3 linked regions of the Arabidopsis thaliana genome follow. The protein of the gene in region 3 binds, or shares a complex with, the protein of the main gene of each other region. Each region holds a gene or a part of one and is shown on either strand. Other genes may lie near its edges.

Region 1 (12,252 bases), on a different chromosome or scaffold from region 3:
ATTTCCAACAGCCGTCGTACGCGGCGGCACGTCTTTCAACACCACCGACCCCGCACCAATCTTAGCTCCTTCACCAATCGTGATATTCCCCAAAATACAAGTCCCAGCTCCAATCAAAACCCCATCGCCAATCTTCGGGTGCCTATCTCCACACTGTTTCCCCGTTCCTCCAAGCGTAACGTTATGGAGAATCGAAACATTGTTCCCCACAACCGCCGTCTCACCGATCACAATAGCCGTAGCATGGTCTAGCAAAATCCCGGTACCGATTTTAGCTCCAGGGTGGAAATCAACAGCGAAGGCTTCAGAGACTCTGTTCTGGATCAACAAAGCTAGGATTTTTCTGTCCTGAGTCCAAAGCTCATGAGCAATACGATGCGCTTGACAAGCGAGGAAGCCTTTAAAGTGAAGGAAACAATGAACGTAGCTTATACAAGCAGGATCTCTCTCCTTAACAGCTAAAAGATCTAGCTTGACAGATTCAACAATATCTGGGTTTCCTTGAAGAACACCAGAGAACAAATCGAAAAGCGTGTTGCTTGGAAGATTCAAATTGCTGAGTTTAACAGATAAAGTATTCGCCAACGCAGCTTCCAACGAACGCTGAGAAACAATCGAAGCGTGATAATAAGCGGAAACAATAGGTTCTTTGGCGATATCAGATTTAGCCTCTTCTCGGATTTTGGCCCAAACATCATCGACTTCAGCGTCGCGATCGAGATCTTCAAGCAAAGGACGAGTATGGAGGGTTTTGGTCTGGGTTCCATTGAAGGAAGATCGATCAGGATAACGGAAGTAGTTCATGTAACGAAAGCCAGATTCATCGTCGTGGTGTTTAGAAGAATCGCGAGGAGAAATCTGGGGTTTACCAGTGCGGCAGGTGTCGATGCACGCAGCCATAGGAGGAGGAGGAGGAGGAGAAGGAGGAGGAGATAAAGTATGGTGTTTGAATTTGGAGGAAACAAAAGAAGGAAGAAGGAAAGAGTGATGATTGATGTGTGGAGAAGATGAACGGAGCATATATAGGGACATTGTGAAGTGGCGGCGACTTGTGACCGGCAACATTTTTTTTTTTTCTCGGCCAAACAAAAAACGGAAGGATGTGAACAAATTTATGTATTTTGGAGATTGTTTCTCTCTCTGTCTTCTTCTTTAGATTTCTTTCCTTTTTGAATTCGATTCCTAATTTTTTTTGTATTAAAATTTTTTGACTGTGTGTGAACACTAGTGGCCACTAGGAGTGGAGAGACTGGGTGCCAAAAAAAGTTATGAATCTGTTGGTATTTTTATTGCAACTTATATAAGAAACTAGATAAGGTCAGGTGTAAGATGTAAATATAATTTTTTATCAATAATATTTAAATTTTGAATAGTAAAATAATAATTTATATATTGTTTTGATATATAATTTTGAATAGTAAAATAGTAGTTTTATGCATTTTATTTTATTATACTCATTCAATCTTATTGATGATATTTGAAGTCTAAATAGTAACATACACATTTTTTCTTTATTATAATTTAGTATTTAGAATAAAAAAACAAATTTTTATCTTACACATTCAATTTTGTAATACATTTTAACTATCTATTTCATAAAAAACTCGATTTTAATTCTACACACTTCATCTTACTTGATAATAATTTCATGTCAAAATAATATTTATATGAGATCAAATCTATATCTTAGTTAATATTAAAAATTATTAACAATTAACAAAACATAATTAATAATAATACAAATTTTGTTAATACCATATATATTAAAAATTTGACCAATAACATATATATATTTTTTTTGTTAATTATCCTTTTGGTTAAGAAAAATAAAATGTAATCTTTTTTAGATATAGTCATATGAATTAGTATATGTTAATAATGATTTATTTTTTAGTTATCTAATTCTTTAAGAAGAAAAAAGTTAATTGATTTCTTTTTTAGTATTTCTATTTTTTTTAAAAGAAAAAAGTTAATTATTTTCTTACACGTATCAACATCTGATCGATAGACTTGACACGTGGTATAATCGTATGAGTTAGTAACTTTGAAAACCATAATTTATATAATAAGATTTGTTTATATTTTCTTTGGGATTTAATTTAGAAAAATGTGTGTAATTTATTTTTGAAAAAAAATGGCATAGCAAATCGAATCATTGTTTTAATTCTCGTGCGATTGAATTAACAAAAATTAAAAGGACATATATGTCGACTGTCGTAATAAAGTAGCACTTGTTTGGTAAAAGAATTTTAAAAAACACATGTTTATTATCATTTTAAATTGTGGTCAGAGTTTTTGTGTACATCTTCTTTTCGGGAGTGAGGCTCATCTATCACATGTTCTTTTTTGTGACACCTACTTTTTTTTGGTTACCATCAACCCACTTTTTTGTTGTTCATTCTTTTTTGTATATACCAAAACAACAAACTATAACGACTAAAAAATAAAATTATCACAATGAAAAGAAAAAAAAGAATATATTATCACAATTCACTATGACGTGAATACGAGCAAGTGCAATCCCATACAAGTGAAATTTAATTTTAAATATTTCATTACCTTTGTTCAACACAAGAACTATATATTTCATTGCCACCTTCGAGATATATAAACCCTTTTTGTTAGACGTGTATAATAGACCTTTCATAAATCAATTTAAGACTAATTTGACTTAACTAGTGTTGTTTAGTAAGGTTTATATATGCCTAGTTGCTTATATTTTTAGGTAAGAATATATGTTTTTTTTTCATTTTGCTTTGAGTTTTATGCTTTGTGGTTTTAATATCTTTTTTTTTTCTATATGGCTTAGACTCCAATAATTTTTTGTGTTCCTCCCGTTTTTGATTCCGAGTATTTATTCATTGCATATCGGCTTTAGTTTCTCTTTTTTTTTTTTTTTTTTTAGTCACTCCCGTGTGTACTATATACTTAATTTCAACAAATTTATCAATATCAAATCAGTTGACAAAAACAAAGAATAATTTGATTTAACTTTGGTGTTTTTGTAATTATAAAATGAAATAAACGTGACGTATGTAATGACAGATGACTTAGTTAGTCTATAGATCCGTGAAGCCATCGTCCTATTTTCAAGCCAAAGTCACTTGAATTTATCATGTGGCTCTCGCTCTTTCTGATCAATTAAATAGCTTTATCAATTAACATAATCATATGATGTGAAAACCAAAAAATTAACATAATAAAAAGCTTATATGTTAAAACGAAGATATTTGACTACCAGCGACTTAATAAACTATATCCAAGTGAGATTGTGTGAAAAAAAATAACTATTTGTTATGTTTAGAATCAATTTCTTCGATGGGTTTTAGATAAATATTTTATTTAAGTAACTGCCATCCCAAACAACAAGGGGAAAATACAAATTGAAGGTGTTGTTTTCTAATAAAACAAACAATTGGTATTACAGAAATTCAAAATCAGTGGGAACCCCTCCAATTATTTTCCGACAATCAGTGAGGTCTCAAAATACTACAACCAAAAGAAGAAATATATGTTTTCTTTTCTTTTTTTTTTGTCTTAAAATTATATTTTGTTTCCTTTCAGTTTCAGCCGTTGAAAATATTGTCTCTTCGAGTGTGGAAAACATAAAACCCTGTTTGTTTGATGCTTCTAATGTGGCCATGTATTTTCGATCAGGATTAGTGAACAATAAGACTGAATTAGAACAAAGCAATTCTGATATGAGGATACCATAATCACGAATAATGAATCACAGCTAAACTTTTATTAAAGTTAGAGAAAATAGTGACTCATAAGACATAGTATACTAGTTCATATCAGTGTTATTATCACCTTACATATTTGATCCAATATGAGTGTTTTGGTATATCAATATGAACCAGAGTTTAACCATTTGGTTGAACGCAAAATAGTTTTGAATATGTTTATGCAAATTGCAATAAACCCAAAATGGTAGTAAAAGAAAATACAACCCATAATGGTACTACTTGAAAGTTTATCATAAAACCGATCTCGTAAAATATAAGATTATGGAAGCAGAAATTATGTATGATTTCAGTAATGCTGTGAAAAAAAAAAGCAATTTATTCGAGTGTTTTTGAGAACAAACTATAATCAAAATAAATAATAATGGACGGTCCATGTTGGTATATCGTGGGAATATGCCTTAACTTTAACGACTATTATAAACCGCCACATCATTGTCTCATCTACTTAAACCAAATTCAATTTTGGCGACTATTCGTTTTCTTTCTTCTTTGGTCAAGACATTATCTTACAATGAACCACTTCTTACTATACCAAAAACCATTTCATATGATTAAAATAATGATATAGTTGTGTGTATGATTGAACATGGAAAAGAATATTCTTCAACTTTATAATATTGGGGGGTTGACAATTTCTGCATCATCCAAAATTCCAAATTAGATAAGAAAAAGCGCCATCGACTTATCAGACATAAATTCGAAACCATTACTGTTTTTTCCCTTGGATCGTTTCGTAAGCTTGGAAAGGAAAGACTGGTAAAACAACACTTGCAGGTTTTAATTGGCTGCTAAGAAAAGAGACGAACTGAGTCTAGAGGATAATTGATAAATGAAATGTGTTGTGACAAAAAATTATAATTTCCCTATTGAGTTTGTGGATAAACGAACTTATACGTTTATTATAATAATGAAGTCGCTTTCAAGATTCCAACCTCCTGGTTTTAAAATAACTCAAGTTGTGCATCTTCTTATTCCTACTATAATACTACTATAATACTTATATTCAAAAAAAAGATTCCACTTTGAATACAACAAAAATAAAAAAACTTATCATAATGGACACAGGCAAACTGCATAACAATTAGTAAAACAAAAACAAATTCCTTTGAACTTGCTTAATTAAGGATATGTTCATCAACTAAGAACCAAGCATCGCTAAAGATAGATTCCAAGGACCAGATAATACAACTTACATTTTCGTTACAAAGGTTCTCAAAAAAGATGATACAAGGCTTACCAGTTCTAAGCAATGTAGTTGATCTGAAACAGTCTGTTCATTCAATGCAAAAGTGCCCATCACATCTGAGGAAGAAAAAACACTTTGGTTAAGAACAAGCATCAAGATCTTGATGGTCAACAGAGAAAGATTGTAATTTGATGAAGTTTTGTTTTTGAGGATAAATATTGGAGCCTATGTGCAGTTTCAGTAGCTAAGACACATCAATATTCAAAAACCATTAAGAAGAGAGATCACTTTTTTTGTTTGTTACCATTGTAGTTACGCTTCTTCTTCAGAGCTTCACTTCCACATCGACACCAGCAGGAAGATCAAGTTGCATCAAAGAATCGATAGTTTGAGCAGTCGGGTAGAGAATATCAATCATGCGCTGGTGTGTCCGGATTTCAAAATGGAACCTAGCATCCTTGTGAACGTGAGGAGACTTGAGAACACAGTAGATACGCTTCTTGGTTGGCAATGGAACAGGACCCATCGTCTTTGCATTGGTGTTTCTCGCAGCATCAAGTATCTGCTTGCATGAGTCCTCAATAAGAGGCACCCAGTATGATCTAAGCTTGATCCTAATCTTTTGCTTTGGCGCCATCTGATAACACAAAAATAAATCAAATTAAACCAAACACAATGAAACTCCACAAGACCCCTTAAAACAAAACTCTATTGTGGCAAATCTTATGAAGATACCATCTAAAGACGATCAAGATTTCTATACAATTACTTCTCCTTTCCTGTATATACAAGATGATATCTACTTGAAGGCATTTCACACAAATGAGACTCTTTATCGCTCTGAAAAAACGTAGTAAACCAAAGAAGTCTATTGATCTGACAAAGATAGACATTGAAGACATCAAATTTGAAAATTTGCGTATCAATTTCTAGCAGTGACCTCTAACACAGCAATGGGCATTGGTGTTAGAACAGATATGATACTTTTTAGCGCTGTGAAAACGTAGTAAAGCAAAAAAGTCTACTGTTTTGACGAAGATGGACACAGAATTTAGAACACACCAATGCACAAGTACTCGTAAAATCTGTATTCTAGTAAGTGAGCTGTAACAGTAACGGAATATACCTTATCCGCGTCTACACTGATGGATGAAGAGCTCGGAACCTGAATCACACAGACACAAAGACTATTATTAACAGAATTAACATCAAAGTGCTAAATGATTCTGCAAAACAATGTCTTTCCCCCCCCCCCCCCAAATTTCGCATTAGCTCTGCAAACAATCGAATCCGAGACTGACAGAGGAAAGAGTGTACCTCAGAGGCGGGTTCATCGAGAATTTCTGGAGTTGGATCTAGGGTATCGGGAACAGCGAAGACCTTCGTAAGCGAGACGGATGGTTTCGTAAGGACGCAGGAACTAAGGCCGCCATGGGTAGAAGATGAAGGCAGCAGAGAGACTTTGAGTCTGGTAGAAGAAGGCGAAGAGCTTGGAATGCCGAAAGATGGCAATAGAAACGACGATACAGTAGAAACCGCCATTGAATTTTCCCAAAACCACGAATCGATTTCTCTTATTCTTCTTCCTCTTAACGTTCGAAGGATGAGGTTTCTTCTTCAGCAGCTTCTTCTTGAGGGTTATCCATTTTATCCAAAACCTTTTTCTCTCTTTTTTAAATGATGAGATATTATTTATTCTAAGCCCATTAATTCATTAAAAGGCCTACGCTTATTATAAATGAATACCCATTAGGCCCAAATTGTATAGTTTCTGTTAGGGACCAAAAGTACCCATTAGGCCCATATTTTATAGTTCTTTTGGGGACCAAAAATATTCTAACCTAGTAAAATATGATTCATTTGTCTTTCGGTATTTTCTTTCTTGTGGATTGTGATCTGTCTTTAGAAGATTCTTTTGTATCTCATAAATATCTTTTGGAAAATTCAACACACAAACATTCGTGAAGTAGATGGAAAATTTAAGAAAAGTGGAAGACAAAATGAACTACTTGACAAACAAAACCCCATGAAAATATGCAATGAATGTGGAAAAAAATGGACAATATAAATATTCGATGAAATAATACAAACTCATAAAATAATATTAATTTGAATACAAAAGACAATAATATCAAGGAAGGATTCCGTAGTTTTGATTTTTGACTTTTAAATGCATTGTTCTTAATTTTATCTGTAATTGTGTGATCCATAATCTGTAAATATATACCTTCAAATGTGTGATCCATAATCTCACACGGAAATATAAGGTGTTAGCGTAGTTCAAGTATAATTTTTTTTTAATAAAAGCAAAATACATGTAGAAGAAGCCTAACAATTAACATAATGATGTCGCCAAATCCATGCAATTTAAAGAAGGAAAATGACTTAAACCAATCAAAGACATAAAAGACAATGACATCTTCTAAATATTATTGTCCACAAGCCCTCACACTATTCAAAGACCAATCATCCCTTACTATTCCGTTTGTATTTGTCTCAATCATGAGTATTTTTTTTTATATATATCATCAAGCTATACATGACTTAAAAGTCATATTCCTTTACCATTAACATACCATAAAAGCTAAGTCATCATGTATAGCTTGATGATATAAAAAGAAAAAAAATCCGAATTCCATCAGAGGTCATAAAAGATTCGGAACTTTTGGAACACTAACCAGAGGTCGTTTCGCAATGTAACCAATAATAGGACATAAGAAAACATGGATTAGTTGACAAACAAACAATAGAAGAAACACAGAGACTTTTTTTTATCCACATAACTGGGAAATCACACTTCACACGTGGCATGCAGCCATGCAGCTTCAGAACAAGGGGTGGTTTGGTAAAATCATCCACAGATGCCCATTGCCTTTGGCTTAAATTCTATAAATACCAAAGCCGTTGAGTGTAGTGTAACGCTTTGCACAATTACACTTTAACCTGTTTAATTCCTTCTTCTTCTTCTTCTTATTCTAGTCCTCACCATTCACTCACAAAACCAAAGAAAAGAAACCAGAGAGATGGATCAAATAAAACCGGAGTTTCTGAAGAAATTGACCAAGTTTATAGCAGTTTCGATGTGGATTTTATCTCTTTTAACCAGCCACGACTTCTATTTATATAGGTTCATGATCCAACTCGTAACACACGCAGTAGATAAAAACTACATGTTCCTCCTCTGCAATGGTCTCGTAGTGGTTGTTGCTAAGTGTTCTGGTTTGGTCGCTTCGTCCAAACCAATAGAGAAAATTTGGAGTAATACCGATAAAACCTTTGATTATGGAGATTTCGAGAGTTACACTACGATACTGGAGCTAGAGTATAAATCTGATCATGGAATAGGAACAGAGTCCTTTCTTGCAGAGGAAGTTACAGTGGAGGAAGATACAAAACATCAAGAAACCGAGGACAACGAAGAAGAAGATGACGACGACAACACATTAGCAGATAATGATGGAGAGGAAGAGTGTGGTCTTCGTGGCGGATCTATAAACGAGGAAGAAGAAGGGAACGTAGGAGTGATGACATCGACGGAGGAGGAGATGAATAAGAAATTCGACGAGTTCATCAGAAAGATGAAGGAAGAGCTTAGAATCGAAGCTAAACGGCATTTAATCCTTGTTTGAGTACTTTCTAATTAATCAGTTTTGTTTAAGTTTAATCAAACGCAATTTGCTCATATAGAGAGCGAGTTACGTTTTCTAGCTTCTTCTACATCCTCCTAGCCTCTGTAAGCATCTCTTTTAATGGAATCCTTTTTAAATCTAAGTAATTCTCTCGCGTTACACTTTTTCTTGAAAATTGTTACCTCGTATATATTATGCAAAAATGAAACTCGTCAAATACGATTAAACTACAATATGATCATATACATACAAAATTATATGTTTACATATTTCATATCGAACTCCATTATTAGTTCTATAGGCTAGACTGATGTACTACATGTTTTTAGCGGTGTGTTGTCTACACCCGATAGTTTCGGGGGAATAATGCTGTCCGTGCATGCACACGTGTATACCTTTGCATATAATGAATTTTCAATGTCAAAGAAAAACGTATGATGGATATTCCTAATTCTATATGTCTTTTAGGAGATGATGTACTTTCGTGTAAACATGATATGTGATGGATTGAGCCATTTTTTTCTATTTCTTGGCTATAGTTGATTTTTAAAATGTTTAATTTTCTTGATCTGATAACTTTTGCTGATTCCGTGGCCAACAGAACATCCGGTACCATGATTCCAAGCTTGAACAGTACGTATAGATTTCTTTAAATTGATCATGGGTTTGGTAAAAGTAAAATGTACATACGCATTTATCAATGTTATTACGTATTCTTAACAATAATATAATAGCTATTAGTAAGCCCTAAGATGATAACTGTAGAAACTTTCAGACTCATTACAAAATTCTAACAATGTTATAAGTTACGTCAAAATGATGTATTGTGTACATATATTTAATCCCATGATCCATCAATCCATATGTACAACCTGTAGAATATTTATCAACGAGAACGAAGAATCGAATATATGTTTAAAAAGTAATATAAGTTTGCTTTAAAGACTCCATATATAGATTCTCTGCTCTCTGCTTTTAGTTTTAGACCTCCATACTTTTTTTTTATCAGTTCCCCCACTATCCTATCCTACATATTCATCATCACTAGTCTCCATAAGATCATTTTTATTTGAATATTAAAAAATAAAGTTACTGTGAAATTTGTTGAGAATCTTCTAGTCGATCGCTTAGTTGGGTTTTCACTTTGAACAACTTTTTGTTTTGTTTTCTGAAACGGTTCAACTACACTAGCTAGCATCATGCATGTTCCATTTAATGTGATTTATCTTTTCTCTAGTCCTTTCGAGAGGTTTTTATTAAAAGGAAAACATTTGATTTGACTAATTCAATTGATCAACGTGAAAACACCAAAAAAAAAAAAAAAAAAAAAAAAAAACCAGAAAGAAGAGTTTAATACTGAATGTTACATGTATCAAACAAGCAGGAATGAGACAGTTGAAATGAATGGATAATGAAGATTTGGTACTCTATTGAGTATATGTAATTACTAATACAAAAACCCGTAAATTTTCTTGGTTAACTAGTTTAAGAAAACGATTGAGGAGCGAAAGATCTATCGAATAGTGATAGACTATACGATTTTGACACAGCAGAACATGTCCACTCCCGTTTATATTTAAAATGAACTTACTTATACAACTAAATATGACAAAACAAAATAAGATAATAAATGGGTCAGCTTATTTCATGTTATATAAAATGATATTAGGCTTTGATTGCAACAAGTTTGGCATGTAAGTATTCTAAACTAACGACTTTATACATCTTAGTTTGTATCATTCCATAAGTAGGTTTCAGTTTTGGCGATCATCTAAGATATAAACGGCGTATGATAGATATAAAAAAGCCGTAAATACCTAACAAGAGATGAATGGTAGTGTATAGAGCAATCATGCATATGGAGCTGTCTACACATACCAAAATCCAAAATTAAAAAATAAAGTAGAACCGAAAGACATGGAGAAGGAACAGTAAACTCAATCAATGGACAAAGAAACAAAACCAAAAGAATCAAGCTATAATACTATAACAATTAATATTAAGTGGGTCCAATTCCTGTTGAGAGGAAAATTGATTAAACCACATATACATGTAAACAATCATATGCTCAATAATGTTCAAAGCTCTAAAGCCAAAAATCATATCAATATTCGTAACTTACTAAAAGAAAAAAACTTGGTAAGATGTTATATGACTTTATATTAAAACAAAAACAGTATTTTGTGGGAAAGATAATAATGCATTCAGATGCTATAGTTTGAGTTAATATGGAACAGTAGAGTAAATAGATGTAATTGTTTTCAAGTATGTGTCAAAGGGAAGGAAACCATGGCACGAACTACGAAGCTCAAACACTGAAAACTTATACTCTTTGCAACCACAAAAGGCAAAATGATGAAAGAATGAGCGGTCAAGTTTGAAGGAAGAAGTAATCAGTAATTTGTTCACTGGTTCCTGTGGGTGGTTTGTGTACGGGGAGGTTAATGGACCCAACACTCATCACTCATCAGTAAACCTTGGAATATGAACTAGTGTTAATAGTATATAAGCTTAAGGCTCATTATATCCGATCAAAATGTTTTATTTTTGGGTTTTAGATCTAATCCCCGGTTTCATTTTTTTTTTGTTTCATATGGCCATAGCAACAAAGTTAAAGTGCTAAGCATAAAGTCAATGTTGATATCCTTTTATTCTTGTTGTCATTTTATTGATAAACCAGCAATATTGAAATGAAAATGAGCACATAGCTATTGTTTGTCGACAAAAACCAATTGATGTGAAAACAGATGTCCAGTTGAAGAGATAAAACATGATTGGTTGAACATAGTGAAAATTATACTCATTCTACTAAAATAATGACTTCAAATACAAAGAGAAAATGTGTGTCAAGGACTTCCACAAAGTTGGAATGGCCCTAGGAGTCCATTAATCAACAATTTGTGTTCTTGGTTCTTAAAAAAACATAGAATCCGCGTCTATAACGCAATCGCTATATAAAAAAACAGCGATCAAGAATAGAATAAACCTAAAACGCGGTTTTGAGACCAAAAAAAGAAGATTCATCTTCCTCAATGAGACATTACATGATCACGCATCCACTACCCGACGAACTCGACATCCGATACTGCGGTTCTACGTAAGAGTAACTATGCAACGTTCTTGGTGGTGGCGCCGGTAGACTATAATACGGCGGTGTTGTATGCGGGTTAGTTGCCTGCCGTGGTGCCTCCGAGTGCCGCGGGGGATTTGACGGCGGATGAGCATAGTTTCCGCCATAAACATGTGGCGGAGGAGGATATTGATACAACGAAGGATATGCATAGTTACCACGGGAGGTGGTAGGAATGTAATAGCCTGATTGACCGTAATAACCACCGCCGCCGCGAGGAGTCATAACTTCTCCGTCGAAACGGAGATTAGTGATCTTTCCATGTTCACCGTACCGTTCAGCAACAGCCAACAATACATTAGGGTTAACTCTGGCCTTGAGTTTCATTGAGTTGTCGTCTCCGGTGAAATCCACAGAGTAAACTCCTGCAAGTAATATTAGAAATATGAATATCAACCACAAGAATCATCAACAAAACAAACACACACAAACGTAGACAGACACGTACCGTAGACACAATGCATGACTTCTGACACTTTTTGCCGACAAAGCTGGCAACCTCTGTTCACTTTCATCACACAGCTCTACAGAGTAAATTAAACAACATTTCTTATTTAG
Region 2 (5,349 bases), on a different chromosome or scaffold from region 3:
TCATTTGGAAAAAAAAAATTGATAAAAAAGAAGAAGAACAATCAAAAAGAGAAGAAACAAGACGGATAGAAATTGCAGAAACTTGGGATAGCTTCCTATTTGCTCAAATAATAAGAGGTTCTCTCTTAGTAACTCAATCAATTCTTAGAAAATATATTATATTACCTTTATTGATAATAATTAAAAACAGTGTCCGTATGTTATTATTTCAATTTCCCGAGTGGTCCCAGGATTTAAAGGATTGGAAACGTGAAATGCATGTTAAATGTACTTATAATGGGGTTCAACTATCCGAAACAGAATTTCCAAGAAACTGGTTAACGGATGGTATTCAGATAAAAATCCTATTTCCTTTTTATCTTAAACCTTGGCATAAATCTAAATTTCAAGCATCTCAGAAGGCTCGACTAAAAAAAACAAAAGACAAAGGAGAAAAAAATGATTTTTGTTTCTTAACAGTTTGGGGAATGGAAACCGAACTACCGTTTGGTTCTGCCCAAAGAAAGCCTTCTTTTTTTGAACCTATTTCTAAAGAATTAAAAAAAAGAATCAAAAAATTAAAAAAAAAGTCTTTTGTGGTTTTAAAGATTTTCAAAGAAAGAGCACCCATTTTCCTAAAAGTCGCAAAAGAAACTAAAAACTGGATTCTCAAAAACTTTATTTTTATAAAAGGAATTTCAAAACGAAATCTAATTCCATTATTTGGCCCGAGAGAAATATATGAATTAAATGAACCTAAAAAAGATTCAATAATAAGTAATCAGATGATTCATGAACTATCTGTTCAAAATAAATCCTTGGAGTGGACAAATTCTTCACTTAGCGAAAAAAAAATCAAAAATTTGATTGATAGAAAAAAGACAATCAGAAATCAAATAGAAGAAATTTCAAAAGAAAAACAAAACTTAACTAATAGTTGTACCAAACTGCGTTATGATTCTAAAATAATTGAGTCATCAAAAAAAATTTGGCAGACATTCAAAAGAAAAAATACCCGATTAATTCGTAAATCCATTTTTTTTTTTAAATTTTGCATCGAACAAATGTCTATAGCTATTTTTCTAGGTATCATTAATATTCCAAGAATTACTACACAACTTTTTTTTGAATCAACAAAAAAAATTCTTGATAAATATATTTACAAGAATGAAGAAAATGGAGAAAAAAAAAAAAATACTCTTTATTTTATTTCGACTATAAAAAATTTAATATCCAATAAAAAAAAAATGAGTTATGACCTATGCTCTTTATCACAAGCATATGTATTTTACAAATTATCACAAATTAAAGTTAGTAACTTTTGTAAATTAAAGGCTGTTCTTGAATATAACATATGCATAACATCCTTTTTTGTTAAGAATAAAATAAAGGTTTTTTTTCAAGAACACGGAATCTTTCATTATGAATTGAAAAATAAAACCTTTTTGAATTCCGAAGTAAATCAATGGAAAAACTGGTTACGAAGTCAGTATCAATACAATTTACCCCAGATTTCATGGGCTAGATTAGTAACCCAAAATTGGAAAAATAAAATAAATAAAGATTCTCTAGTTCTAAACCCAAGTTTAACCAAAGAGGATTCATATGAAAAAAAGAAATTTGATAATTATAAAAAACAAAAATTTTTTGAGGCCGACTCATTATTAAATCCAAAACATAATGTAAAAAAAGATTCTATATATAATCTTTTTTGCTATAAATCTATTCATTCTACAGAAAAAAATTTTGACATGTCTATAGGCATTGCCCTAGATAATTGTTTAGTCTCTTCTTTTCTAGAAAAATATAATATTCGGGGTATGGGGGAAATTCGGCATAGAAAATATTTGGATTGGAGAATTCTTAACTTTTGGTTTACAAAAAAAGTAACTATTGAGCCTTGGGTTGATACTAAGAGTAAAAAAAAATATATTAATACTAAAGTTCAGAATTATCAAAAAATTGATAAAATAACGCAGACGGATCTTGCTAATAAAAAAAGAAACTTTTTTGATTGGATGGGAATGAATGAAGAAATACTAAATCAGCGTATAACAAATTTTGAATTTTTTTTCTTTCCGGAATTTTTCTTATTTTCTAGTACATATAAAATGAAACCATGGGTCATACCAATCAAATTACTTCTTTTAAATTTTAATGAAAACATAAATGTTAATAAAAAGATCATTCGAAAGAAAAAAGGTTTTATACCATCAAATGAAAAAGAATCCCTTCGATTTTATAATCTGAATAAAGAAGAAAAAGAATCGGCCGGTCAAGTAGAACTTGAATCAGATAAAGAAACAAAAAGAAATCCCGAAGCAGCTCGATTAAACCAAGAAAAAAATATTGAAGAAAATTTTGCAGAATCAACAATAAAAAAACGTAAAAATAAAAAACAATACAAAAGTAATACAGAAGCGGAACTTGATTTATTTCTGACAAGATATTCGCGTTTTCAATTGCGATGGAATTGTTTTTTTAATCAAAAAATTCTCAATAATGTAAAAGTATACTGTCTCTTGGTTAGACTAAACAATCCAAACGAAATAGCGGTATCTTCTATTGAAAGAGGAGAGATGAGCCTAGACATTCTAATGATTGAGAAAAATTTCACTTTTGCAAAATTAATGAAAAAAGGAATATTGATTATTGAACCTGTGCGTTTGTCTGTACAAAACGATGGACAACTTATTATATATAGAACCATAGGTATTTCATTGGTTCATAAAAATAAACACAAAATAAGTAAAAGATACAAAAAAAAAAGCTATATTAATAAAAAATTTTTTGAAAAATCCATTACAAAATATCAAAACAAAACTGTAAATAAAAAAAAAAATAATTATGATTTCTTTGTCCCTGAAAAAATTCTATCCCCTAAACGACGTAGAGAATTTCGAATTCTAATTTGTTTCAACTTAAAAAAAAAAAATGCTAGGGATACAAATTCAAGATTTGATAAGAATATTCAAAACTTGACCACCGTTTTGCATAAAAAGAAAGATCTTGATCTTGATAAGGATAAAAATAACTTAATTAATTTAAAATCCTTTCTTTGGCCCAATTTTAAATTAGAAGATTTAGCTTGTATGAATCGCTATTGGTTTAATACTACTAACGGAAATCATTTCAGTATGATAAGAATACGCATGTATACGCGATTTCCAATTCCTTAATCATAAATACTTTTTACTATATATAATAAGTTACGGTATATGAAAACAACTATATGCACAAATATGAGGGATTGTTTTAAATTAAATCTTTATACATGAGATTAATTTAATCAATCACATAGATACCAATTATAGCGGATTCATAAATAAATTAACAGAATCCTTCTTTTTGAGATCTAAATTTAGATTTTTTTCTAAAATGAAGAATTAAGAGGTTGATAATTAAATTAAGATCCTTGTACAAAAAAACTACCATTATTATTACTGATCAGTAAAATTAATATCTTTCAATTCATATTAAAAGGGGAAGGATTTCTTTTTATGATAAAAAATATAGTCATTTCATTTGAAGAACAAAAAGAAGAAAGCAGGGGATCCGTTGAATTTCAAGTATTTAGTTTCACTAATAAGATACGAAGACTTACTTCACATTTGGAATTGCACAGAAAAGATTATTTATCTCAGCGGGGTCTACGAAAAATTCTGGGAAAACGTCAACGACTGCTGGCTTATTTGTCAAAAAAAAATAGAGTACGTTATAAAGAATTAATTAATCAGTTGAATATTCGGGAATTAAAAACTCGTTAAATTCAAAAATTGTGAATTAGTGAATTTTTTAGATCTTGAATTTTTTGATAAACTTCTTTATTCAGAAATCTAATTCATGCCAGAACGAATCAAGGAAAAACTTATGAAGAGACCAGTTACAGGAAAAGATCTTATGATAGTCAATATGGGACCTCACCACCCATCCATGCATGGTGTTCTTCGCTTAATTGTTACTCTAGATGGTGAGGATGTTGTTGACTGTGAACCCATATTAGGTTATTTACACAGAGGAATGGAAAAAATTGCAGAAAACCGAGCAATTATACAATATTTACCGTATGTAACGCGATGGGATTATTTAGCTACTATGTTTACAGAAGCAATAACAGTAAATGGACCAGAACAATTGGGAAATATTCAAGTTCCTAAAAGGGCCAGCTATATCAGAGTAATTATGCTGGAATTGAGTCGTATAGCTTCTCATCTGTTATGGCTCGGCCCTTTTATGGCAGATATTGGTGCACAGACTCCCTTTTTCTATATTTTCAGAGAACGAGAATTTGTATATGATCTATTCGAAGCTGCCACCGGTATGAGAATGATGCATAATTTTTTTCGTATTGGAGGAATAGCGGCTGATTTACCTTATGGTTGGATAGATAAATGCTTGGATTTTTGTGATTATTTTTTAACAGAGGTTGTTGAATATCAAAAACTCATTACACGAAATCCTATTTTTTTAGAACGGGTTGAAGGAGTTGGGATTATTGGTGGGGAAGAAGCAATAAATTGGGGTTTATCCGGACCAATGCTACGCGCATCCGGAATACCATGGGATCTTCGTAAAATTGATCGTTATGAGTCTTACGATGAATTTGAATGGGAAATTCAATGGCAAAAACAAGGAGATTCATTAGCTCGTTATTTAGTACGACTTAGCGAAATGACAGAATCCATAAAAATTATTCAACAGGCTCTGGAAGGACTTCCAGGGGGTCCCTATGAGAATTTAGAAAGCAGGGGCTTTGATAGAAAAAGGAATCCAGAATGGAATGATTTTGAATATCGATTCATTAGTAAAAAACCTTCTCCTACTTTTGAATTATCAAAACAAGAACTTTATGTAAGAGTTGAAGCTCCAAAAGGGGAGTTGGGAATTTTTCTCATAGGAGATCAAAGCGGTTTTCCTTGGAGATGGAAAATACGACCACCGGGTTTTATTAATTTGCAAATTCTTCCTGAACTAGTTAAAAGAATGAAATTGGCTGATATTATGACGATACTCGGTAGCATAGATATAATTATGGGAGAAGTTGATCGTTAAAATGATAATTTATGCAACAGCAGTCCAAACTATAAATTCTTTTGTTAAATTGGAATCTTTAAAAGAGGTCTATGGACTCATATGGATATTTGTCCCTATATTTTCTCTTGTATTGGGAATCATAACAGGTGTACTAGTAATTGTGTGGTTAGAAAGAGAAATATCTGCAGGGATACAACAACGTATTGGACCTGAATACGCCGGCCCGTTGGGAATTCTTCAAGCTCTAGCCGATGGGACAAAACTACTTTTCAAAGAAAATCTTCGTCCATCTAGAGGAAATACTCCTTTATTTAGTATTGGACCATCTATAGCAGT
Region 3 (11,379 bases):
GGAAAAAAAAAAGAAGCAGTCTTTAGGTTTCTTCTTTTTTGTCGGCAAAAACTGGAGTGTCATTTATAAACTTTTTTTTTACAGAGAAATATTTTTTGTAATATTCTTTGCAATTTAAAATATATTTTTTGATACAGAGCCAAAGTAGACCTTTAATTAAATTTATAAAATACATTGTATTATTTTGCTATTAGTGGATATGTATAGTTATATACATACACTTATATGTATTTTGGATAACTTAAACAAGGTACAAATTTGAATTTTGGTTGACCAAATACATTCAAGCTATTTTTTAAGTTTTATTTTCCAGAGGGATAAATTAATATATTTGGAAGTTAAATAACAGAGTTTCAGTTATATCTAAACCACATTAGCAGGTTGCCCCTAGACTAACTCTGTCATTAAGCAAAACTAATCCACAAGTTAACTTCCAGAAAGTATTTGACAAGAAAATAAAATCAAATTACATATTTAACATACATAAATATGTGTTAACCCAATCATTTTCAAGATTGGTTGAAAAACGAAATTAAATTTTATTTGAGTTAACTAATAAAATAAATTTATCGATAAATGGAAATTAATACGGCAAGATTCATTTTCTGTCGGTTCTTTATAAAAATAAAATTAAAAAATTGTTCAAAAGGGCATATTCTAGACTTGTGGATCGCTCGTTTTGTGACAGCAATGACAAAGAGAGATCCAAATAAATATTGAATATTTGGCAAATAAATAAAATAAAAAAGTAGGCCTACAATATACTATATAATAATTAAATATATATGGATGGACCAACTCTATTTATTGCTCACAGTTGTCATTTGTCAATCTAAAATAAAATATAGAAAAGTATGTGGAAGTGTATTATGTTTATTGATTAAAAAGAATTAAACGATAAAAAGGTCCAAAACATTAGATCAAAACTTAAGCTAGCTTTGTTACCTTGATTTCGACTGAAGTATGGTATAAATCTGGCCCCGAGCCGACTGAACTAACATTTTCAGCATTATGTTATTCGAAATTTCGACAGTATGATAATGAGTATATTTAAAAGAAGCATTATGTATAATTTTGAGAGAAGAAAAGATTGAGCATTTTTTAGTATGTTTTTTTTTTTTAGGGTGAAAATTGGATCTAAGGATATTTATAGGAAACAAATGGATGAATACATAAGAAGGAATTAATATGTTTCGTCATGAACCAAGTAACCAACATAAATAGATACATTTTAAACTTTTTATAAAAGCAGCCATTAATAGAAGATGGTCTTTTAAAATTGGATTTGTTTTATTTGCTTTTCAAATTTTATCACAATTTTGTCTTGTTCATAGTTTTTAAGAAAAATATTAACCACAACTTTGTCTTGTTCATATTTTATTTTACAAAATTGGCTAAAATCACATTCTATTTATTTATGAGTTTTAAAATATAAATTAGATTTTGGTGATATTCAATTTATAATATTTTAATAAATTTTCAGTAGTCTCTCTAGAAATATACAAGTTTTTTTAATGTACCTCTAAATATTTTAAAATCAAGAAAATCAATCTAGATATGGTTCTTTATAAGAAAGTACACAAGCCAACAAACACTCGTAGTCTCGTAGATGTTTTTATCAAGTATATATATATACATTCATTATACTATTTTCAAATCGTTGGTAAATCAACTGATAATTTTTTTTTCCTATCCATTATATATAAAACAAATATAAATATGTCGCCTATTACATCATAAAATTTGAGGAAGTAAAAAAAAAATTGAAATTTCAAACCTATCAACTAAATTTTCTGATTTAACAGATTTAATTTATTTTTATTTTTTTAGTTTAAAAAAACTCATTCATTAAACATGTGAAAGTGACTAACCACGATGTCTAGCTGTAGCGGCAGTTTAATAAAGCTTTAAGCAATGATCTCGCTCGCCGGCCAAGTTTAGAAACAATGAAAGATCAAATTGAATGATTTGTTTTCTTTTGTCATTCGTGAAGACAATTTAAAAAGATACACGTGTAGATGTGAGGTTATGAACAGGTTATTGTTTTAAAACACAGCATTATATCAGCCAATATATATCAATATATAGACGATGTTCGGTCCAAAAATCTAGATCAATCTCCTTCATGTTTGCTATTCGAAAATGATTGTTATTTATATCAAATCGTGCGTGTAACATCGATTGATAAATATTGGAAATTTAAGTAAAGGCCAATTGTCACGTAATGACTTGAAAGCATCTCCAATGTAATTCAGTATTTATTTCTTTTCACTTGACGATAGAAGAATTTGATTAGAGATGAGTTACTTATTGAGCGAATTAATGTACGTTATTTTCTATGACCATATACATTCCACCGACATCGGACATTACACTGCTGTCGGAACTTAATGATTTATTTTTCTAAATACGAATACATTTCTCCAATGGAAAAAATCTAAGAGTTTTAAGATTTTTCTATAACTGTAATTGTCATTTCAACGAAGAGTTTAAGAAGAAAACAGAGAGAAAAGCGTGTAAATATCTGTAGTTTTAATCAAATGGGTCATTTCTATTTCAGTCTATATATTTAATCAAAATTGCAATTCACAAATTTTAATGCTTACGTATTTTAAGTAACATTAAATGAACATCTTCGTCCTAAAAGTTACTTGATATTAATAGAAAGGTAAAGTAACAGAACAAAGCATTAACGATATATTTATATTTCAAAACTTACACACAAGTATTCAGAATTAAGAAAAGAACAAAACAAATAAAGGAGACGTTTCTGCGATTATGTTTTTGCTTGAAATAGAACAAACAAACACGTATTGGTAAAGAAACCAATAACTTTGAAGATAGCTTAAACGCAAAATATATAGTGAAAAAAGGGAAATCAACAATTATTATATATCCCCACGAAACTCGGTGTCGGTGGCTCAATCATCTTAACACTCTAAACTTTTAAGCCCATTCGTGCGCATGCGTGTATGTATATACGTGTGCATTGGATTTGAAATTTTGGTCGTTATCGAGAGTTCTAGTAGATTATGCATTTTGTGTAACAAGTGTAATATAATTGGGACCCTTTATTACTTTCTATAAAACTTAATTCTTTTAACCTATAGATCACCCGTTTGTCAATTATATCAATCAAGGGTCCCTTATTAGCTGCATTTTCCGATCGATAATAGAGAAGATCATCCAATGCTTTACAATCACTTCCATGCGACCTCACATACAATTACTTCCATTGCATAGTATGTAGTAAAACTATATATTTTGCTTCCAATGGATTTGATGCTTGTTTATGCTTAGAACTTCCAAATAATCTTTTTTAACGTAGCGAATTGATTTTGCATTCAAAGCACCCTTAGTAAATCCGTTTCCTAGTCTAGTCCCATAATTAAGGTAAAATCTACATGGGCTTCTCAGGCCCATAATGAGAAGTTTAAAAGGCTCAACTCAACAAGATTTAGTTATGCTAAGGCCTTACAAGTTACAATCAAACAGAGGATAGGGACCGTCGGATTTATCTGACTTCCTCTCCTTCGATTAGGGTTTCTGAATTACTACTCCTCTGCCAATTAGGGTTTAAGCCTCTCCAGCATTTTCTTTCAGCTCAAACCCAAGAACCTCATCGCCGATTATTTCTTCATCCTTACTCTATCCCGCGCCGATTAATCTCTCTCAGGTAAACTACTTCAATTTTACTCATAGACTAATTGTACAGAGATTGATAAATCCTATGTTGTTCCCATTAGAATGTTCAAGGGTTTATGATTATTCAGGATTTCAAATCTGAATTATTGGACAAATAAACCCTAATTTCGTATAATTTGCATATCATCAGTACCGTCCGAGATGAGAAAGCTCAAGTATCACGAGAAGAAGCTTATAAAGAAAGTAAATTTCTTAGAATGGAAAAGAGAAGGTAACCATCGGGAAAACGAGATTACGTATCGATACCACATGGGCTCTCGTGATGATTACAAAAAGTTGGTACCTTTATTTGCTCTTAAAGCTCTGTTCTACTTATTCTTCTTCTTCTGGTTCGAGTGTTTTGTGATGAACAATGGTCTTTTTCTGATTCTTGAGAATGTTTTTTCTTTTGGGCAGGTATTCAGGATTGTGTAGGATGGTGCAGAAACTGACGAATATAATGAAACAAATGGATCCAGCAGATCCTTTTCGTATTCAGATGACTGATATGCTTTTGGAGAAGCTGTGAGTTTTTTAAATATATATACCAGTTTGTTCAAGTATAGAGCTTATTACAAGCAATGGTTCTTTGTTTTCTCTAGATTTAGGTCGTAGAACATGAGACTTGATCATTTTCTGCAGTTTTTTACACCGATCTTATCTTAGAGACCTCCTGTTGTTTTTCTTGTTAACCACTTTTAGAGATAATTAAAATTGGGGGTCCTTATGCTTCTATATAGATTTTAGGACCGTTGGTTTGAAATCCATTAGAGGTTGAATTCATCCTGGTAAAATGTGTGATCTAATGGGTTTCTTTCAGAATCTGTTTCTTGAATAGCTTCTACATAGAGCTAAGTTACTATATAATATAGGCTTATTGTATAGGGAAAAAGAGCCATCCTACTGAAACTTGTTGATTGCGTAGTTCCACTCTGCAATGAGAAAACTTGTTCTCTTAATGGCTGACTGACTTGTGTTTCTTACATGTACGCTTGAAACGGCAGATATAACATGGGTGTTATACCGACTAGGAAAAGCTTGACTCTAACTGAGCGGTTATCAGTTTCATCCTTCTGTAGGTAAGAGTATATGCAAGAGCCTATATAGGCAGTTACTTAAACCCTTGATAGCCAAATGTTCTCATTTCGTTTGCCTCATATCGGTTCTTTTTTTTTATTTGCAGGCGTAGGCTATCTACTGTGCTGGTTCACCTGAAGTTTGCAGAGCACCACAAAGAAGCTGTGACATACATAGAGCAAGGACACGTTCGTGTAGGACCAGAAACAATTACTGATCCAGCTTTCTTAGTAACTCGGAACATGGAAGATTTCATCACTTGGGTTGATTCATCCAAGATTAAACGAAAGGTTCTTGAGTACAATGACACATTGGATGATTATGACATGCTTGCTTAGCTTTGAGGAAGTTAAAAAAGACTGATGTTTTGTAAAAGCCAAAAAAGGTTCACTGCTACTACTATTGCAGGGTTTGTTTGGATTTTTGAATATGCAAATGTGCTACTATTCCCTTGTCTTTAATCTTACTTTCGATCTATTTGCAAGAAGAAACTTGAAAACAAATGTCATGAAAATATTGAATCTAACTCATATTATCGTCAAATTGTATAAGTTGGAGCCACAGAAATGGATGAACATAAAATATTAAATCTAATTATTATTTGACACTTCAAATTACAAAACCCGTTTGATTCGATCCGACCCGACCCGACCAGAAAATCGCAAAACCTGTGTTTTTGCTTTCCCCGGTCTCTCAAAATAAAATTGCTCGCTTAGAAGCTTCAAACGCAGCTGAAATGGCGGTTCAAGCAAATCAGAGTGCTTCTTTTGGGTTCAGAACAGCTTCACCTTCTCAGAAGCTCTCTTCGAAACCCATAGCTCATATCTCTCTATCGACGAAGCTCAAACCCTCTTCTCGACCATCGCTTTCGTGCTCTACTTGGAATCAGGGTCAAATTCCGGCGAGACACTCCTGTATCAATCCCGGAATATTCGCATATCCCCCCTCCAATCTTACCTTCTCTCATGAACTACCAGAATCTGAATCTCCGCCACTTGGAAAGGTCAGTCATCGTCAAAAAACTTCTCTTGGAACAAATTGGGGTTATAAGCTTGTTAGACAAAGTTGCAGCCTTTTTTTGTCATTTGAACGAAAATGTGGTAAACCAAATGTATTGTCTCCATCTATTTAATTGTGGTAGAAGAGGCAGTGTGTGCTAGTGTTAAACCTCCCTTATGTTGCTTCATTGTGAAAACTTTTGTGAAAGGAAGTAGAGATGTATGATTCTTCCCTTGTTATCGTCATCTTATATTGCAGAAGAAGATGCGTGTGTTAGTGAAGCCGCTAGAGAAACCAAAGGTGGTACTGAAGTTTGTATGGATGCAAAAGGACATAGGAGTTGCATTAGACCATATGATTCCAGGATTTGGAACAATCCCACTTAGTCCATACTACTTCTGGCCTAGGAAAGATGCTTGGGAAGAGCTCAAAACTTTGTTAGAGAGCAAGCCTTGGATCTCTGAGCTTCATCGTGTCTTCCTCCTTAACCAAGCTACAGACATCATCAATCTTTGGCAATCAAGCGGTGGAGATTTGTCTTGATTTGGATTCACCAGATATATCTGTTTATCATAGGTATCATTAACTTTTCAAAGTCTAAAGCTTTTGTGTTGTTTAGTCTATCATTAGTCCTCTGTGTAATCATCGAAACTCGAAAAAACTTCTATCATTAAAATGGCGAATTCAAAACAAGAAAACAAAAGATCATCATCATCATCATGATGAACGTTTAATCGAAGTACTTAGACATTTGAATCGATTTATTACTCATCCCACATTTCTCATAGAACACTTTGTTCTCCACACTACAATCTAGAATCACCTTATAGCAACCCATTGATTTGCAATGATCCATAAGAAACTCAACAACTTTCTTCCCCAGCTGTTTCCCGCGAAACCTTGAATCCACAACAACGTCTTCAATGTGCCCAGCTTTACCGCAATTCCTCAGAAACTTCTTCTCTATCATCACACTACCCGTAGCAGCGATTTTTCCCGAAGTTTCTTCTTCGATCACGCAGATCACGTGGTCGTCACCATACGATCTGATTTCTTCGAATCGCCGATCGAATTCTTCGTCTGTTACTGATCCGGTGACGGTTAGTTGACCTAGAAGCTCGATGAATCCTTTTCTCTTATCGGAGATCTCCAGTTTTCGGATCTTGAATGTCTCAGCCATAGAATCAGATCGGATAATTTTGAATTTGAGTTTTTTTTTATAAGATCCAGTCACTCACTGGAACTGAATATAATCACCCATAGAAAAACAAATGTGATAATTACGAAAAGGTACTTATTCTTTTAGATAGTTACAAAAAGTTTCCGAATCTCTTAATGAAGTCAAAATGGGCCATTTGTTTTTTAAATTGACTTTTGATGTAACAAAAGCAGCAAGATAAAAACTCCATAGTAAACAATATTTATTGAAATGACAACAAGCCAACAAGTGAAAATGCAGAGGAAAAAAGTAACAATTTAAAGCGGATGATACATATAGATTACATAATTGGAAATGTAAGGAAAGGATTGCTAATTTAGGGTTGATGGTGACTAGAAAAGGAAGGTGAAAGAGGAGGGATTCCCGGGATGAGAGGGGCCGGAGGGATTCCAGGGATAAGAGGGACCGGAGGGATGCCAGGGAGTCCAGGGACCGGAGGGAGCGGAACAGGGAAAGAAGGTGGTGGTGGCGGTAGTGAAGGCGGATTCACGATAGGGACAGGTGGAAGAACCGGAAGAGGTGGAAGAGTCGGAATTGTTGGAATCGGTGGCAGAGTAGGAGTCGGGGGAGTAGGAAGTAACGGAATTGTAGGGAGAGTTGGGGGAGTAGGGATTAGTGGGATTGGAGGGAGACTTGGGGGAGAAGGAATAAGCGGGTTTGGAGGGAGAGTAGGGGTTGGGATAGAAGGAATGAGCGGGTTTGGAGGGATGATAGATGGCGGGTTTAACGGGTTTGGCGGAAAGAAGAAATTGGGTTTTAGTGCTTCGGTTTTCTTGTCTTTCAAGGAATCAGATTTCTTGTTATGCAAGGAAGCTGATTTCTGAGGTCCTGGTGGAAGAAGAGGAGGAACTAGAGGAAGAGGTAAGTCCGGAACAGGTAACTTTGGAACAGGTAAGTTTGGAAGAGGAGGAACGATAGGGAGATTTGGGAGAGGGGAAGGATTAGGAGGATCTTGGAGCGGTGGAGGAAATGAAGGATCCGGTAAAAGAGGCTTGGAACCGCGGAGATTGATAGGTTTTTGGCTACAAATCTCTGGTTGGTTTTCGGGTCTGAAAGTGAAGAACCCTGCAGAGAAAACCCTAGTATTCTCTCCATGATGGTTTGATTTAAGGCGTTTGAGAGAAGAAGAAGTAGCAGACGAAGCTATAGAACAGTAAGGCTGTGAGCTACTTAGCAACTTCACAGAGCATCTCTTGATCTTCTTCACATGTTTGCTCACAGAGAATGGTAGCTTCACTTTGAATTCGCCGCGCTTGTCTGTTTTCACTTCTTGTCTGAAACTCGGTTTCGAGTTCTCGTCAATGCATTCCACTGCAACTAAAGCACCTGCAACAAGATCCACAAAACTTTTCATAATTCTTTCTAAGATTTTAGACCCACAAACAAGAAAAAACCCTATAAGTTTCCAAAACAGAGTGCTCTGTTCTAGAATCCAAAAAACATTATTTTCCAAGTAGTGTTACCAAGAAAACACGAGCAAGACTGCAAGAGGAAAAAAAAACAAAAATCAGAAACCAGACCTGAGATTAAGTGGTTGGGTGATTTCGAGAAGGCGCCGTTAAAACAAGTGTCACAGTAGACAGTTCCTACTACAACTGCAGAAGAACGTGTCTTCTTCATAACATGTTGCTGTCCTTGAGACAAACCTCCATTGATAGAGATTCCTAAGAAAATCATAAGACTAAACCAAAACCATAAGGTCGTTATTCTCTCCATAATTATCGACTCTATCTCTCACTATCGGAGGAAAGAGGGGGTATATATATAGGAGTGTGGTGTGAAGATGAGTGAGCCACGAAAAACGAAGAGATTGTTAAAAGATGAGTGAAGCTTATCTCTTTTTGTTTTGCCATGTTAATAAGAATCATGGGAAAAATACAAAATCGAACTACAAAGCTAGCTACTATAATGTCTTGTGACCCTATCTTTCTACAGCTCAGTAGCTGAATTATTGTAAAAAATAGTAAGAGGTGAGAAAAAAGACAACACTAATATTTTGGATTCACGTTCGCGTGTCGATTAGATTTGATCGAACAGTACACGGTAAAAACACGTTCAAAGTAAAATACCAAACCTGTTATATCATTGTTTCTTGAATTGCGGGGTTGCTAAAACTAAAAAAATTCAGACACATATGATTTTTTTTTTTTTTTCTGAGTTAAAGGTTCCGAAGATGAACATATCTGAGATACTTTTGTGTTGAAAATATCTGTTATCATCATCTTTCCCTTATTTACATTCTGAATTTTGGATGAGACTAAAACATGACATGATGTTTTCATTTCCAAACTGTGAATCACTGTCTGTCATGTTTGATGTTTATAGTATAGTCTACATCCATGTTTTTTTAAAGAATGACATTTACAATCATTATTGTTAGAAGGATATCCTAATTGTCAATATTACATCGAAATATTTATTTTTAGAACATCCGAGAATAGATGATTAGTTACTGTGGTGATGATTTTGATAGTTAACTAATATCAGTAACAGTCTATCATGGACGGATTTACATATTTCTAATCGGTAATCCAAACTAGATGTAAGAAGAGGTTACAGAGATTCATTAATTCGCAATATAATTGTTCTAAGAAACTTATACATTGCTTATTATACATTTGTTTATAGATTTGGAGAAACATATAGCCAGTGAGGCTAAAGTTGATAACTAGACTTAAGTAAGTTATAGTTTCTATTTTCTTTAACAGAGGAAACAATACATGCAATTTAAGAAAGTGAAGGCTTATGGGAATGAGAATGGGGAAGGGAATACAGTTGGAGAGTCTCTGTCGATTCACGAGACACTAAGGATGTCCACACAATCATATATACCCAATTCTTACTTCTGTCTTCTTATAGAGTACTACATACATACTCATTCTTGATAAGGGACAAAAAATTAAATAAAATGAGTTAAAGAATGTGAATGTTTTTTAATGGTATTAAAGACTCTGAATGTTCTTCTCGAATTTTCATATTTTAACTTTTGATTTTTGTGTTTTTTTTTAATCAGGAACGCCGTATGTGCTAAAAAAAATACCATTTCATGAGAATAAACAAATTCTATTAGTCGACGACATAAAAAACAACAAACAAACACTATGGTGGATTATAGATAGACTAGGGAATATTGTAACTTTATAAAAAATATTGAAAAAATATGAAAACATTGTAAACTAAAAATCATTAATTTCTAGATAATATAGGACTAAATAATAAAATGGGCCAAGATCAAATTAACCCAAACTGTAGTTTACAACTTGGTTGTTCCCATTCCTTGATATGGGCTAAGTGACATAAAAAGCCCGACTCTTTATTGTCCACTAACAATTGGTCTTTTAACTTCTTGATGGATTAATTGTGGGTGTAGAAGATTATTTTGACTATATAAAAACAGAAAATTAACTAAATATTTTCGATATATTAAATAACTAGATGATAGATGATTTTTTTTTGCAGTAATTTCATAAATTTAGTTTCATAAATTAGTTTGGTTGAATTCAAATTTAGTAAATTGTCAAATTTGAGACATAGATGATAGAACTAAGATTAGTAATTAGTAGCGCTATATATGACTCAATGGATGTGAACAAGATGATAATTTAAAAAAATGTTTTATAAAATTCTTTTTGTCCAATGAACAATAGGTTAAAACGGACAAATTTACTTTTGTGATTTAATTATTGCCATGCATTTTGGCATATAGTCACTCTGTTTCATAATATAAGCTGTTTAATTTTTGTCATTTAACAATTTTAATACGTGTAACATTTCGTCATGCAATGTTATTTTATGTGTAGATATCTAATTTATTAAATGTACTTTTATTTCAGTTATAAAAGTTATACATAATCTGCGATTATAAAATTTTATATTAATATAATGCGTTAAACATTAAGTATCTGTTTACGATAATACCAAAATAAAAAACAAGGGAAAAATTCCATCCCAAATTTTTGCTTTTGTTACTTTTGAATAGCAAATCTCTAATGTATTATTTTTCTAAAATAAAATCTTCCTATCCTAATGTCATCATCTACAAAATCATTAAAATATGTAATGTCTGATTAACTAAAATAATTTTATCAACTAGTATAAAATAAGAGAATCAACCAAAAAAGTTTGGTTTAAATTGTATAGAGAGAGTCCTCCATTAGCGTCCAGCAACAACGCCCACCCACTTTCACACCAACTTGAACACACTACTCCTCCTCCTTCACTTTTTCCTTCAATCTCTCTTCTCGCTGACGACTTGGAAATAAAGTGAGGGAAAATATTCCTCCAACTTCACTTTCCTGAGAATCTGCAAATAAAGCAATTCAACTTCCTTTTCTTTCTTTCTAAATGAAATTTCGTTCTTTGTCTCAGTCTCTCTCTCTTTCTTCGGTCGAGTCCGATCA

Evidence for each region.
Region 1: PSRP3/2 (region 3) and AT3G13120 share a complex: the UniProt entries of both Arabidopsis thaliana proteins name them as parts of the 30S ribosomal subunit.
Region 2: PSRP3/2 (region 3) and rps15 share a complex: the UniProt entries of both Arabidopsis thaliana proteins name them as parts of the 30S ribosomal subunit.

Annotation. Positions count from the first base shown.
Region 1 is NC_003074.8:4,215,050-4,227,301, forward strand, and holds AT3G13120 (Ribosomal protein S10p/S20e family protein), read right to left. Parts: upstream 6,599-12,252; 5' UTR 6,478-6,598; coding exon 6,253-6,477; intron 6,101-6,252; coding exon 6,062-6,100; intron 5,573-6,061; coding exon 5,261-5,572; 3' UTR 5,240-5,260; exon of another isoform or gene 5,224-5,239; intron 5,052-5,223; 3' UTR 4,261-5,051; downstream 1-4,260. Other genes in the region: SERAT2;2 (serine acetyltransferase 2;2), read right to left, coding at 1-1,065; AT3G13130 (uncharacterized protein), read left to right, coding at 7,959-8,564; AT3G13140 (hydroxyproline-rich glycoprotein family protein), read right to left, coding at 11,605-12,059, 12,143-12,218.
Region 2 is NC_000932.1:121,693-127,041, reverse strand, and holds rps15 (ribosomal protein S15), read left to right. Parts: upstream 1-3,479; coding exon 3,480-3,746; downstream 3,747-5,349. Other genes in the region: ndhH (NADH dehydrogenase subunit 7), read left to right, coding at 3,850-5,031; ndhA (NADH dehydrogenase subunit 1), read left to right, coding at 5,033-5,349.
Region 3 is NC_003076.8:5,137,603-5,148,981, forward strand, and holds PSRP3/2 (Ribosomal protein PSRP-3/Ycf65), read left to right. Parts: upstream 1-5,387; 5' UTR 5,388-5,497; coding exon 5,498-5,764; intron 5,765-6,018; coding exon 6,019-6,303; 3' UTR 6,304-6,490; coding exon of another isoform or gene 6,491-6,940; 3' UTR 6,941-7,004; downstream 7,005-11,379. Other genes in the region: AT5G15745 (uncharacterized protein), read left to right, coding at 1-26, 138-156; AT5G15750 (Alpha-L RNA-binding motif/Ribosomal protein S4 family protein), read left to right, coding at 3,847-3,980, 4,102-4,209, 4,689-4,763, 4,868-5,099; GNA1 (glucose-6-phosphate acetyltransferase 1), read right to left, coding at 6,491-6,940; AT5G15780 (Pollen Ole e 1 allergen and extensin family protein), read right to left, coding at 7,296-8,305, 8,500-8,695. UniProt on the Arabidopsis thaliana protein: Component of the chloroplast ribosome (chloro-ribosome), a dedicated translation machinery responsible for the synthesis of chloroplast genome-encoded proteins, including proteins of the transcription and translation machinery and components of the photosynthetic apparatus.